3 linked regions of the Macaca mulatta genome follow. The main gene of each other region encodes a partner of the protein of the gene in region 2 in a complex. Links are inferred from orthologs where the notes say so. Each region holds a gene or a part of one and is shown on either strand. Other genes may lie near its edges. The genes, in order: FBXO22, BACH1 and FBXL17.

What was found.
Region 1: the proteins of BACH1 (region 2) and FBXO22 are in contact, whole or in part, in a cryo-EM structure (PDB 8S7D), measured with the Homo sapiens proteins. The link is inferred for Macaca mulatta from reciprocal best matches to the Homo sapiens genes BACH1 and FBXO22. Residues at the interface, in NP_001177.1 of Homo sapiens: Ser7, Val8, Phe9, Ala10, Tyr11, Glu12, Ser13, Ser14, Val15; in NP_671717.1 of Homo sapiens: Asp366, Gly371, Asn372, Phe373, Ile374, Leu375, Arg376, Lys377, Cys378.
Region 3: the proteins of BACH1 (region 2) and FBXL17 are in contact, whole or in part, in a cryo-EM structure (PDB 8UAH), measured with the Homo sapiens proteins. The link is inferred for Macaca mulatta from reciprocal best matches to the Homo sapiens genes BACH1 and FBXL17. Residues at the interface, in NP_001177.1 of Homo sapiens: Val20, Leu21, Ser23, Leu24, Gln27, Val32, Leu33, Asp35, Phe39, His48, Arg49, Ser50, Val51, Ala53, Ala54, Cys55, Ser56, Ser57, His60, Ser61, Arg62, Val64, Asn72, Thr74, Pro76, His116, Asn117; in NP_001156787.2 of Homo sapiens: Asp395, Arg421, Asn447, Gln473, Gln498, Glu499, Met524, Arg548, Cys574, Leu575, Tyr598, Val600, Ser601, Asp623, Trp626, Met651, Arg652, Val676, Gln678, Asp679, Cys680, Arg682, Thr683, Glu685, Gln689, Trp692.

What each region holds. Positions count from the first base shown.
Region 1 is NC_133412.1:54,044,780-54,048,428, reverse strand, and holds part of FBXO22 (F-box only protein 22), read right to left. Parts: intron 3,153-3,649; coding exon 2,987-3,152; intron 338-2,986; coding exon 1-337. UniProt on the Homo sapiens protein: Substrate-recognition component of the SCF (SKP1-CUL1-F-box protein)-type E3 ubiquitin ligase complex that is implicated in the control of various cellular processes such as cell cycle control, transcriptional regulation, DNA damage repair, and apoptosis.
Region 2 is NC_133408.1:18,172,005-18,175,653, forward strand, and holds part of BACH1 (transcription regulator protein BACH1), read right to left. Parts: intron 672-3,649; coding exon 1-671. UniProt on the Homo sapiens protein: Transcriptional regulator that acts as a repressor or activator, depending on the context. Binds to NF-E2 DNA binding sites. Plays important roles in coordinating transcription activation and repression by MAFK.
Region 3 is NC_133411.1:117,243,844-117,247,592, forward strand, and holds the start of FBXL17 (F-box/LRR-repeat protein 17), read right to left. Parts: upstream 2,286-3,749; 5' UTR 1,868-2,285; coding exon 872-1,867; exon of another isoform or gene 864-871; intron 1-863. UniProt on the Homo sapiens protein: Substrate-recognition component of the SCF(FBXL17) E3 ubiquitin ligase complex, a key component of a quality control pathway required to ensure functional dimerization of BTB domain-containing proteins (dimerization quality control, DQC).

The sequences.
Region 1 (3,649 bases), on a different chromosome or scaffold from region 2:
TTTCCTCAATATGAAGTTCCCAGTGACTATCCGATCACACCCAATTTCTCCATTTCCAAAGAAGCCGAATAGGGGAACACTAGGAAAAAACTTTCTGAACGCATCAGCCTCAACATTCCCCTTGGCTCTGTAATACTGAAAGCCCCTGCCAACGCATGCAAACATGAAGCCAATGGTGTTCTGCTCTGGAATGTTGGCCGCTTTGAGGCGCTGCATTGCAGCCTCCGCAGTCTTCTCATCACTGACGTCCTCGTTGAGGAGCACAGTGGCACTCTGGATTCGGTGTCCACTAAATGACAGTCCAACCACACCTGCGGCATCAATATCCAGAGGGTTCCTGGAAAATTTAGAAAAGTGGCAATATCTCATGAAACATTAAAATTTTTAAGTACAGAAGCAAAATCCTCCTGATTCACTGATGGGAGGCTGCTGCCTTTAGCAGCCTATGGTTAATCTGAGGCTCACCCTCACAGATGAGTAAAATATGGTCAAAAATCAAACTATTAAAATAGATCAAGAGAAGCCACCATTTTTTTCAGTCACAAATACAAAGGGGCAATGCACATCCATAACAATTTCTGAAACCCATATTTGGTTATTAGAAGGGACAGTTTCCTTACCTTTCTGACTTCCTTAAAAGGAATGTTATAATTTTATTAATATACACAAAGATATCCATTAAACGAAGCCTTCTGCTATTATTTACATTGTTAACATCTTTCCCCCCACTTCAGCTGTCAAATTCTGAAAGACATATATTAAAAATATAATAATGGAGGGTGATTTTATTTTTTTGGAGATCGGGTTCTCTGTTAGCGAGGCTGAAGTGCAGTGGCATAGTCATAGCTCACTGCAGCCTCAAACTCCTGGGATAAAGCAATCCTCCTGCCTGAGTCTCTCAAGTAGCTGGGGCTACAGACACATGCCACCACACCTGGCTAATCTGTAAACATTTTGTGGAGATAGGGTCTCACTATGTTGCGCAGGCTGGTCTCAAACTCCTGAACTCAAGCAATCCTCCTGCCTCAGCCTCCCAAAGTTCTGGGATTACAGGCATGAGCCACTATACCCAGTCTTAGGGGATAATTTTAAAAACCTATTAACTCTAGAAGTTTTAGCTTTATGTCTAGTCCACTAGAAAATATGTTATTTTTTTGTCTTGTTTATTGCTTTGAGTCTAGAATTCAGCTTAATTTGATGGTAAAAACTCATGTTTTGTTTTTGTATTTGCCTGGTTTTTTTTAAAAATGAAATATCCTTACAAAAGAAAATACAACATTGATAAAAGTTATAAAGCATATAATATAGTAAACATCCACTAGGGGAGAAACAAGTATGTTACATTTCTATCATGCTTCCAACATCTGAATCTATAAAATGGGCAAGATTCACTGGATTACTGAGAAACTAAGACACAAAAAGGTTAAGTGACTAAGGTAATAAGGCTAGCTAGTAGTAAAACGAGTTTGTGAGGGGTAAAATCTATCTTCTGAAGTACTCTGCTGCTTTTAAAACTTTATCACATTTCCTCTTTGGTACAGAATTGTTAATACATATTGTCAATCTTGCCTCAAAGAATTATTCACCTTCCTTTTGGGTTGTGGATCAGTTGGGTTATCTGGACTTTATTAAAATGGAGCACTCATTTACTCAACAGTTTCTCTTAATCACTGACAGAGTATGAAGACCACATTAAAATTAATGGGTCATATGAAAAGTAATGATTGGGGTGGAGGGTGTTTCTCATACTAGGTATAAAAAGTAGATGATATACAAATTGCTGTACTAACAAGCTAGCGCCTCAGATGTTTTAAGTCCGAGTGAGATACCTGCATTTCAAAGGTAAACTGTATGTTGAATCACCATTGCCCTATCGGTATACAATTTAAAAGTTAACAGCAAAGATACAGGAAAAATTAGGCAAGAGGGGAAATAACTTAGATAGTCACCAAGAATTCGGTGTATGTATGCACAAAATCCAGTGTTTGATATTCTACTGCCTGGGATTCAACGTACTTGGCTTTCCTCTTTTCCTCCTTCCTGGCAGTCCAGGGACCTCAACTTTAGCTATTTTCCCAGATCTAGCTCACAAAGACTACCAGAAAAGAGAGTATAACTAGGATGACTTACATAATTCTTACAGATATTGATCTCCAAGTCTGTCCCCAAGTCACCACTCTAGGATGCAAATATTAAACAGAGTGGGAAACAAATACTAGTGTTTACAAGCATTGAGGGTGGGGTAGGGTCTCATTTGCCTGCTGGAAACAAATGACATTTATGTCCACCTAATGGTTTCAAACTCAAAATGATATGTACTTTCATTCAAGATGGAAAGGAAGTAATGGCTTCCAAGACAGAAGAGCAAATATTTTTATCTTTGAAAGCAAAAGCCTTAGTAACAAAAATCAAAGATCCATAATTTTTGAGCTTGAAAAAGCCTTTCAAAAGATCTAATACAGAATTTCCAAAAACCAGTAGGACTTGCAAGATGCTCTGTGGAAAAAAAGGTTTTGTGACTTTTTTTGTGACAGATTTGGGAACTGTCACAGGTAATACTATTCCCCTTCCAGATTTCCAATGCACTGGGCATATTAGAAGCTCTGAGAAGTTTTGCATAAAGATACACTTGAACCATGTGTTTCCTTTAAAAGAGGAAACTAGAGAGGAGGTGACACATTGAGGTCACAGAGAGTACCACATTTGTCAAAGGAAAGATCAACAGGCAATGTCAAAATAAATTTTAAGGAGAATGTGAGTCCAACTAAGAAGTTCTTAAAGGACAATATATATAAAAATGTAATTATTCAACTGTAAGCAGAATTATGTTGAGTAAGCCCTTTAGCCAATGTCTACTACAAAATGGAATGAACTATTATCTTAGCAATTCTTTAAACGTGGTTTTTAAATTGTTAACCCCAAAGTGACAAAACCTGGGACCATTTCCCCTCATTCACAGAGGAAATCAGACACACACAAGACATACTTTTCAGAAGTCAGTGATGACAGGTTGTCCACCTGGCCTCCAGCCAAGATGATATTCATATCACTGAAAGTGCTGACTACTTGCTGCAGATAATTACTGGCTCCCACCTTACAGCAATTATAACCAAAGACAAGGACCACACGAAGTTCAGGGTTATCTAAAAGACCTGCAGAGAAATGAAGAGCAAGAGTTAAAGACAGCCTTAAAACAAATTATTTTATACATGTTGCAAAATGAAATGTTACTGTTAATAACTTGCATTCCTCCTTAAGGGCAATTTAGTGGCTTAAGCTATGAAATTTTCCTTTTTTTTAATCTTATTTTATATCCTCTTCTATCTCTGTATCACGTTTTTCATTTCTTACAAACATTATGCAAACTCTTTATAATTTTTTTCTATTAAAAAACCAAATGACTATTTGTATTAATAAATAATACAATGAACACAAATAATGAAGCAGCTATGTACTGAGCAGCAATCCTTGGTGGACCAAGGTGCAAGCTGGCTCCCGGTAGGGAACAAAAGAGAACACTGGTTTACACAGAGCTGCGCTAGCAGCAGTGAAAATTTACAGACGTTTTATTTTTTAAAGGAGAGAAAAGGCGCTAACCACCTATAGTGTGGTGAACAGTGCCCCCTGCCCACGCAAAAGGTATATCCAC
Region 2 (3,649 bases):
TCAGTTGGACACTGAGAAGCAGGCTCTTTCTTCGTTTCTTCGGGTTCCATTGCTAATTTACTTTCGTCACATTTTAACATCACCTGCAAATCTCTACACTCCGGGACTCCTCCCAGGCATTCATTTTCCGACGTTTCATTTGGCTGAACAGAAGCATGAATGTCTTTGACACTAGATTCCCCAGTACGGACTCTGTCAGTTCCAAATGCTTTTTGGAATTTTCTGTATTTGGGGCATAAAGAAGGCAAGGCCAGAGCAGCATCCTTCTCTAAGCACATGGATTCGTATGTCTGACTGGCACTGTCTTGTAGAGGAGGCGAGGCTTTTGCATTTCCTTGATACCTGCGGAGTTTACATTGAGGAGTCTGAACATTTTTATTTTCCACAAATTCCTCCACTTCATCTGTTTCTAGATCCCTCTGGTCCAAAAGTGAAAGTTTAAGATCTGTTTTCTGACAGTGTGATGAAAAGCATTTTTTTCTTGGGCATTCTTGCTGGTCTGCAGTGGAGTCCAAAAACTTAAATTTCAGAAACTGAAAGCAGGATTCCTCAATATTGTGTACACTTAAAAACTCCACACATTTGCACACTTCATCCACATTCTCTTTACTTAAAATCAGTTTAGCAGTGTAGGCAAACTGAATTAAAGGTTCAAATCCTTTAACTGTCACCTGTTGATACACAAAATAAAAAACACATCATTTGAAAGCTGTCTAGTACATAAAAATGAGATAAGTGGAAGAGAAATAGATGTGTAACTTATTTGTGACAATGATAAAATATGTACTTTAATTTAAAGAAAAAATATTCTTCTAAGAAATGGAAAAGGAAAGGATCCTGGAAAAGCATGCTTTTCACAGCGACCACACACTATTTTATAGAGTCCACTCTTAATTGCACATGAATTATGGTTTACTCACATAAGTTAAAGACATTAAGACATTACAAGTTTCCCATGACAGTGGAAAAAAAAATCATCTATGAATTAGAGCAGGATGAACACGACCTGCCACACATACATAGTGAGCCTACTGCTAGCCCAGCTCCACATGGCCACTGTATTCCAAACAACCCCAACTGCTACCAGCTGCAAAACCAGAACTTTTAAGGATATAAAACAGTACCTGTAAAGAAGTTACAAAGTCCTGATCCATGGTAAATGCATACTAACTGGTAACTATTAACTTTACTGTCCTAACAGTAAAAGTTTTAAAGATACAGATTTTTTAAAGTGATCTAGGAGAAGTTATAGAAATCATGCCTCAGTACTGTTTCAGCAAAAATTCATGAACTCAAAGTAACAAAACTTTTAAGTAGAAACCTGCACATTTACATTACACCTGCCTCTTAAAATGAGAGGCAAATGGAACCAGCTGAAGTACACAGAAAGTCCTATCCTGGGTTAAAAGTACAAAATTAATTTGAAACCACTGAGTTCTTATAAGAGTGGTCAAGATAATATTTGTGATCTTAAAAATCTAAACATGCTAAACCATGTTTAGGCTTTTTAAAGGCTCAAATAAAAAGCAATGATACCATCAAATGCTAATGAGAATGCAGAGAAACTAAATCACTCACATATTGCTAGTGGGAATGTAAAATGGTACAGACAATTTGAAATACACTTTCTTATAAAAGTAAACATGCAACTACCATATGACTCAGCAACTGCACTCCTGGTCTTTTATCCCAAAGAAATAAAAACTTATGTTCACACAAACACCAGTACACAAATGTTTACAGCAATCTTATTTGTGATAGCCAAAAACCGGAATTAGCCTGATTTCCTTCAATAGGTGAAAAGCTACACACACACACACACACACACACACACACACGGTACATCCATACTACGGAATACTACTCAGCAATAAAAAGGAAAAAATTTCTGATACACACAACCTGGATAATCTCACCTAAGTCAAACAACATCAATCCTAAGAGGTAATATACTGCATAATTTCATTTATATAACATTTTTAGAATGACAAAACTTTAGAAAAGGAAGAAAGGTAAGTGGTGGCTATGGATTAGGGATGGAGAAAGGGGGCAAGGGAATGAGAGCATGGAGTGTAGGCAGGAGATGTCTGTGGTTATAAAAGGACAACAAAAGGGATCTTTGTGTGTTGGCAAGTTCAGTATCTTTTTTTTTTTTTGAGGTGGAATCTCGCTCTGTCACCCAGGCTAGAGTACAGTGGTGCAATCTCGGCTCACGAGTAGCTGGGATTACAGTTGCCCGCCACCACGCCTGACTAATTTTTGTATTTTTAGTAGAGACGTTTCGCCATGTTGGCCAGGCTGGTAAACTCCTGACCTCAGGTGATCTGCCTGCCTCGGACTCCCAAAGTGCTGGGATTACAGGCATGAGCCACTGCACCCAACTGAGCATCTTAACTATGGTGGTGGATACACAAACCTTCACAGGGGATAAAATTATATAGAACTTAATGCGCGAGTGTGCGCACACACACACACAGACATTATTAGTACAAGCAAAATTGTGGCAATCTGAACCCTATGGGGGACTGTATCAATATCCTGGTTGTAATACTACACTACAACTTTGCAAAATGTTATCAATGGGGGACACTGGACAAAGTGAAAAGGAACTCTGCACTGTTTCTTATATCTGTACATGAAAACATCAAGGTGATAATATTAAATGTCAACTTGACTGGATTGAAGGCTGTAAAGTCTTGTTTCTGGGTGTGTCAGTGAGGGCGTTGCTAGGGAAAATTAACATTTGAGTCAGTGGACTGGGAAAGATAACCCACCCTCAATATGGGTGGGCACCATCCAATCGGCTACCAGCAAGGCTGGAACAAAACAGAAGGAAGAAGGTGGGATAGGTGACTTGCTGACTCTTCTGACTTTCGCCTTTCTCCCCTGCTGGATGCTTCCTGCCCTTGACATCAGATGCCAGGTTCTTTGGCCTTTGGACTCTTAGACTTACATCAGTGGTTTGACGAGGGCTCTTGGGCCTTTGGCCTCAGACTGAAGGCTACAGTGTTGGCTTCCCTATTTTTGAGGCTTTTGGACTCAGACTGGGCCACTACTGGCTTTCTTCCTCCTCAGCTTGCAGGTGGCCTATCGTATGACTTCACCTTGTGAACGTGTGAGCCAATTTTCCTTAATAAACGCCCCTTCATATATATATATATATACACATCCTATTAGTTCTGTCCCTCTGGAGAACTCTAATACACTCAATAAAAATTTCAATTAAAATTTTTAAATTAGTTAAAATAATCTAAAAAGGTCTTTAGGACAATGAGTTATAAGGTATTTTGACACTGTCACTATAATGAAACACTTCCAATATTTGAAAACTTATGATTTACACATTAGAAAGAATGAATGCACACATACATGCATGTATGCACATACCTTTCCTCCTAAATCCATGAATCAAACTTTGCTTTACTTGGAAAGTCTCATTCAATAATTTGAAAATATGAACCATAATTAATATATCTCCATTATAAAATATGTTGGTCTTTTTTTAAAACAATGGCCAGTTCACAGGTTGGCCTTTTTTACCATTTTCTTGGTATTGCACCATTGACTCTGACCTCTGCCACAAAACTGACAACCTATCTGTTCCCAAAACTGTAGCTGCAGTTTCATAGAAGTAGGCATGGACAGCAAC
Region 3 (3,749 bases), on a different chromosome or scaffold from region 2:
TTCATATAGGACACCTACCTCTACTCACCCATTTCCCAACAAAAAATACATCTGCGCTTACCTCTGGTAATCTGCATGCTTTTATGCAAAGGCTAAACTGTAGAAGGGCATTACAACATAGCATAAACAAAGGGGTTTTAAAGTCAGGTGGTCTTAAATTCCCTCATTCAAGACCTAGATCTGCCCTTTACTTTCTGTATGTGACCTTGCACAAGTCATTCGACCACTTCAAGCCCCACTAGACTGTCAGCTCCACAGGAGCAAAGGCCACTTCTGCCTGACTCACTACTGTAAACAGTGGCCCACAGCACGGAGAAGTCAGTTTCTTCTGGTATAAAATAAAGATATTAACAGTATTTATCTCGCAGCTTTAACTGAAGGAATAAATGGGATATTATATATATAAAGTTCTGGTGCAGCGCCTGATTATGGTAAATGCTCAATAATAACTGTTTGACATTAACTACCAATCATCAAACATAAAAGTAATGTTTGAAGACCTTCAAATACTAATACGCAAAGCCTTTACCCACTAAGTATAAACTTCCCGATTAATTTTTTTTTTCTTTTCCACAGAATACCTGCGAAGTTTCTAAACGACTGGGTTGGGATTCTAATAATAGCTGAACCCTGAATGGTGGGTTACAGAGTCAAGCTATTAAAAGACATTCAGTAGACTCCAAGTGCTCCTACTTCAAAAAATAGGTCATACGCAGAGGCCCCACTGGCTTCCCAGTCTCCCCTTCGGACGTCCCTAGACTGTCAGGGAACCCCCCTCCTCCGCGTTTAGGGGGAGGAGAGAGAAAGCCTCAGAGGCGGGGGCCGAGGGTGGGGGAAAGCGAGCATCCCTGCGCCTCTCGCCCAGACCCACCTTGAGCAGGATGGACGGCGGCAGCTGGTTGATGTCTGGGGTTTCGGGGGACGGCTCCCTGTGACAGTCGCAGGGGTTTTCGGGGGGCTCCCGACAGTCCGCGTCGCCACATTCATGCTGCTGCTGGGCGGACGAGGGGGCGGTGCCCCCGGCTCGGACAGCGTCCCCGCCAGCTTCGGTAGGGGCACCTTCGGAGGTGGGAGAAGAGGGCGGGGGGCAGAGCGGCTGCGGGTGCTGCTCCGGGCCCTGGCAGCAGCCGGCGTCGGGGGGTCGGGGCGGCGAAGCGCCTCCCCCCGCAGGCCCTCCCCCACCACCACCGCCGCCGCTGCCGCAGCCCCCGCCGCCGCAGCGGGGCTGCTTGCAGGGGGTGCAGGCTGGGACCCCGGCCCCCTTCCGCTTGCACACCATTTCGGGGGGCGTAGGGGGCTCGGCCGGCGGCGGTGTCGGTCCCCGGAAGAGCTGCACGGCGGCGGGCGGCCCCAGGAAGCGCACCGGCCCCAAGCTGGCCAGGAAGAGACTTCGGCCCTGCTGCTCCCAGGCGGCGGCCGCAGCCAGCCCCAACTCTTTGCAGCAGGAGGCGGGCGACGAAGCCGAGGCGGCAGCGGCTGCGGCGGCGGCGGCCGAGGATAGCAGGAAGCGGCGGGCGGCAGCGGCGCAGTCCTCGGCGGCCAGGGCCGCGTAGCGCCGCGCCAGGTGCTGGGAGGAGGAGGCGGCAGCGTAGGCCCCGTCCCGCGGCGGCGGCGGCGGCGAGAGCGGCGGCTCCTCCTCTGGGCCGGCGGGGGCGGGCGCGCCGGGACTGTGCACGATGAAGCAGAGCATGCAGGGCCCGCGGAAGAAGCAGTCCCGGCTCCGGGGTGCCGCCGGTTGAGGGGGCACCTTGGCTGGGGTCCGGCGGGGCAGCCTGAGGAGAGGGCGCCGGCGGCGGCACCAACTGCAACAGCGAGGCCTCTTCTGGCTCGGGCGGTTACGCGGCTCCTTCGAGAGAAGGTGGCCCATATAGAAGACCCCGAGGAGGGGGACCGGGACGGGAGGGAGGGAGACCCAGAGAGGCGGGCTCCTGGCAGCGGGGCAGGCCGCTCGCTGGCTCGGCCCCCGGCCCGCGGCGGGGTCGCCCTCCCTGCGCACACACACGCACACACGGGCACACACGCGACGGTGGGGGGTGGGCGTCAGCTGCGGGCCGCCGGAGTGCCCGACGGGGGCTACATGCTCTGCCCAGGGAAGCCGGGAGAACGATGGGCGCGAGCTTTGGGGACGCGAGGGAGTGAGCGAGCGAGCGAGCCTGCCGGCTAGGTGACCAGTCCGGGCCCGGCCAGCCGGCTCAGTCAGTCAGCGCGGCAGCGGGGGCAAGGCCGGGTCCCGCTCGGACCATTTTAACTGCGGATCTGCCGCCGGCGCGCGCGCCCGCGACTCTGCTCGGAGCCGCAGGAACGCGCGGCCCGTTCCGGCAGGGGGCGGAGCCAGTTGCGGTGGCGCGCTCGTGGCGGGGACGCTAGCGCCCGCTGCTCACCCGGAACGGCAGCCACACGGCACTACGGGAAGAAGCCGGCCGGCTAGGGTATGGAGCTCTGGGCTCGCGGGGTGCGGCGCGCGCCCCTCCCTCCAGCCGCCTAAGGTTTTTCCGAAGCTGCTGGGCGTGCGCCGCTTTTCTAAGGCGGGAGGAGACACTTCCGAGCCAGCTGTGTGACATCCGTTTACACAGCCGCGCTGACGTCTCGAGGTGTAAGTTCAAGAGCTGCCATTGGCCGGTAGCCGCTCGGCTCTTCCCCTCATCTTCCACCCATATCACCACCCCTGACTCGGAAACCCAGGCCACTTCGAAGCCGCGAGGCGGGTTCCGCCGGAAGGGCCGGCGTGGGTGCTGACCGCGCCTTGGGCGGAGTGGCAGATGCGGCCGGTGGGTGATACGCACCCAAGTCATGTGAGGGGTTGATTGGTTGTGCGGCATCACTGTTTACTCACTTGTGTTTTATTAATTGTTGCGTACTACTGCCTTTCCACAACTTTATTTCAGAGTGAAAGCATATATCAAATTACCTGTGCACGGTGGAAAGATAACAGCTTCCCCACCCAATGAGCCATCCAACACCCAGGCTACAAGCTGTAGATCACTTTATTGTCTGCACCCTCGGAATGCTGTCTAGCCATCTGTTATATATTTTAAACATGACGGTGCAGTGCCGGCTGTATGACAAACCTTGGTGAGTCGGATGAGAAAGAGGAAATAGCTGTGCAGGCAGTCCGTTAGAAGGTTTGACTATATCGAGGCTAGAGAGCTAGGGCAGCTACTAGAGCGGCACCTGGTCTGGAGAAGTTAGCTTTCACAAGCGAAGAATTGGAGGAAGCAAATACCGATGGGAATGAGCGACTCCAATGAGAGAAATAGGAGAAGGTGGAATGGAGAGTGCTTTAGGAAGGACACTTTCTTCATTGTGATTACAGAGAATGACGAAAGGTAGATAAAGGATGAATATAGATAGGTGGATGTTTCTAGCCGGAAGGTGAGAGTTCCTTTCTGATGGTTTCTATTTTCCTTCAGATAGAGCTTGGTTACCTGCTGAAGGGTGGAAGTGAAGTGGCAGCTGTTTAAAAAAAAAATCTGCTAAGGATAACTTGAGAGAGCTGACTGAGGGAGCAGTATTGCAATATTCAAGGCCCAGTGACTTAGAGACCTCTGTTGGAACCTACATTGCTATTACCACTATAGTGGCCAGCGCCACCCAGTCTGCACTCAAACATGCTATCCAACATTTGTTTATTGTGGCCTCTTTGTCAGAAATGACTAATCTTAAGTCTGTCACATTCAGGGATCCTTCTTTCAGAGCCTAATGACAGTGATGTGGAATTCTAGAAGCAAATATTTGTCAAAAGGTTTCAC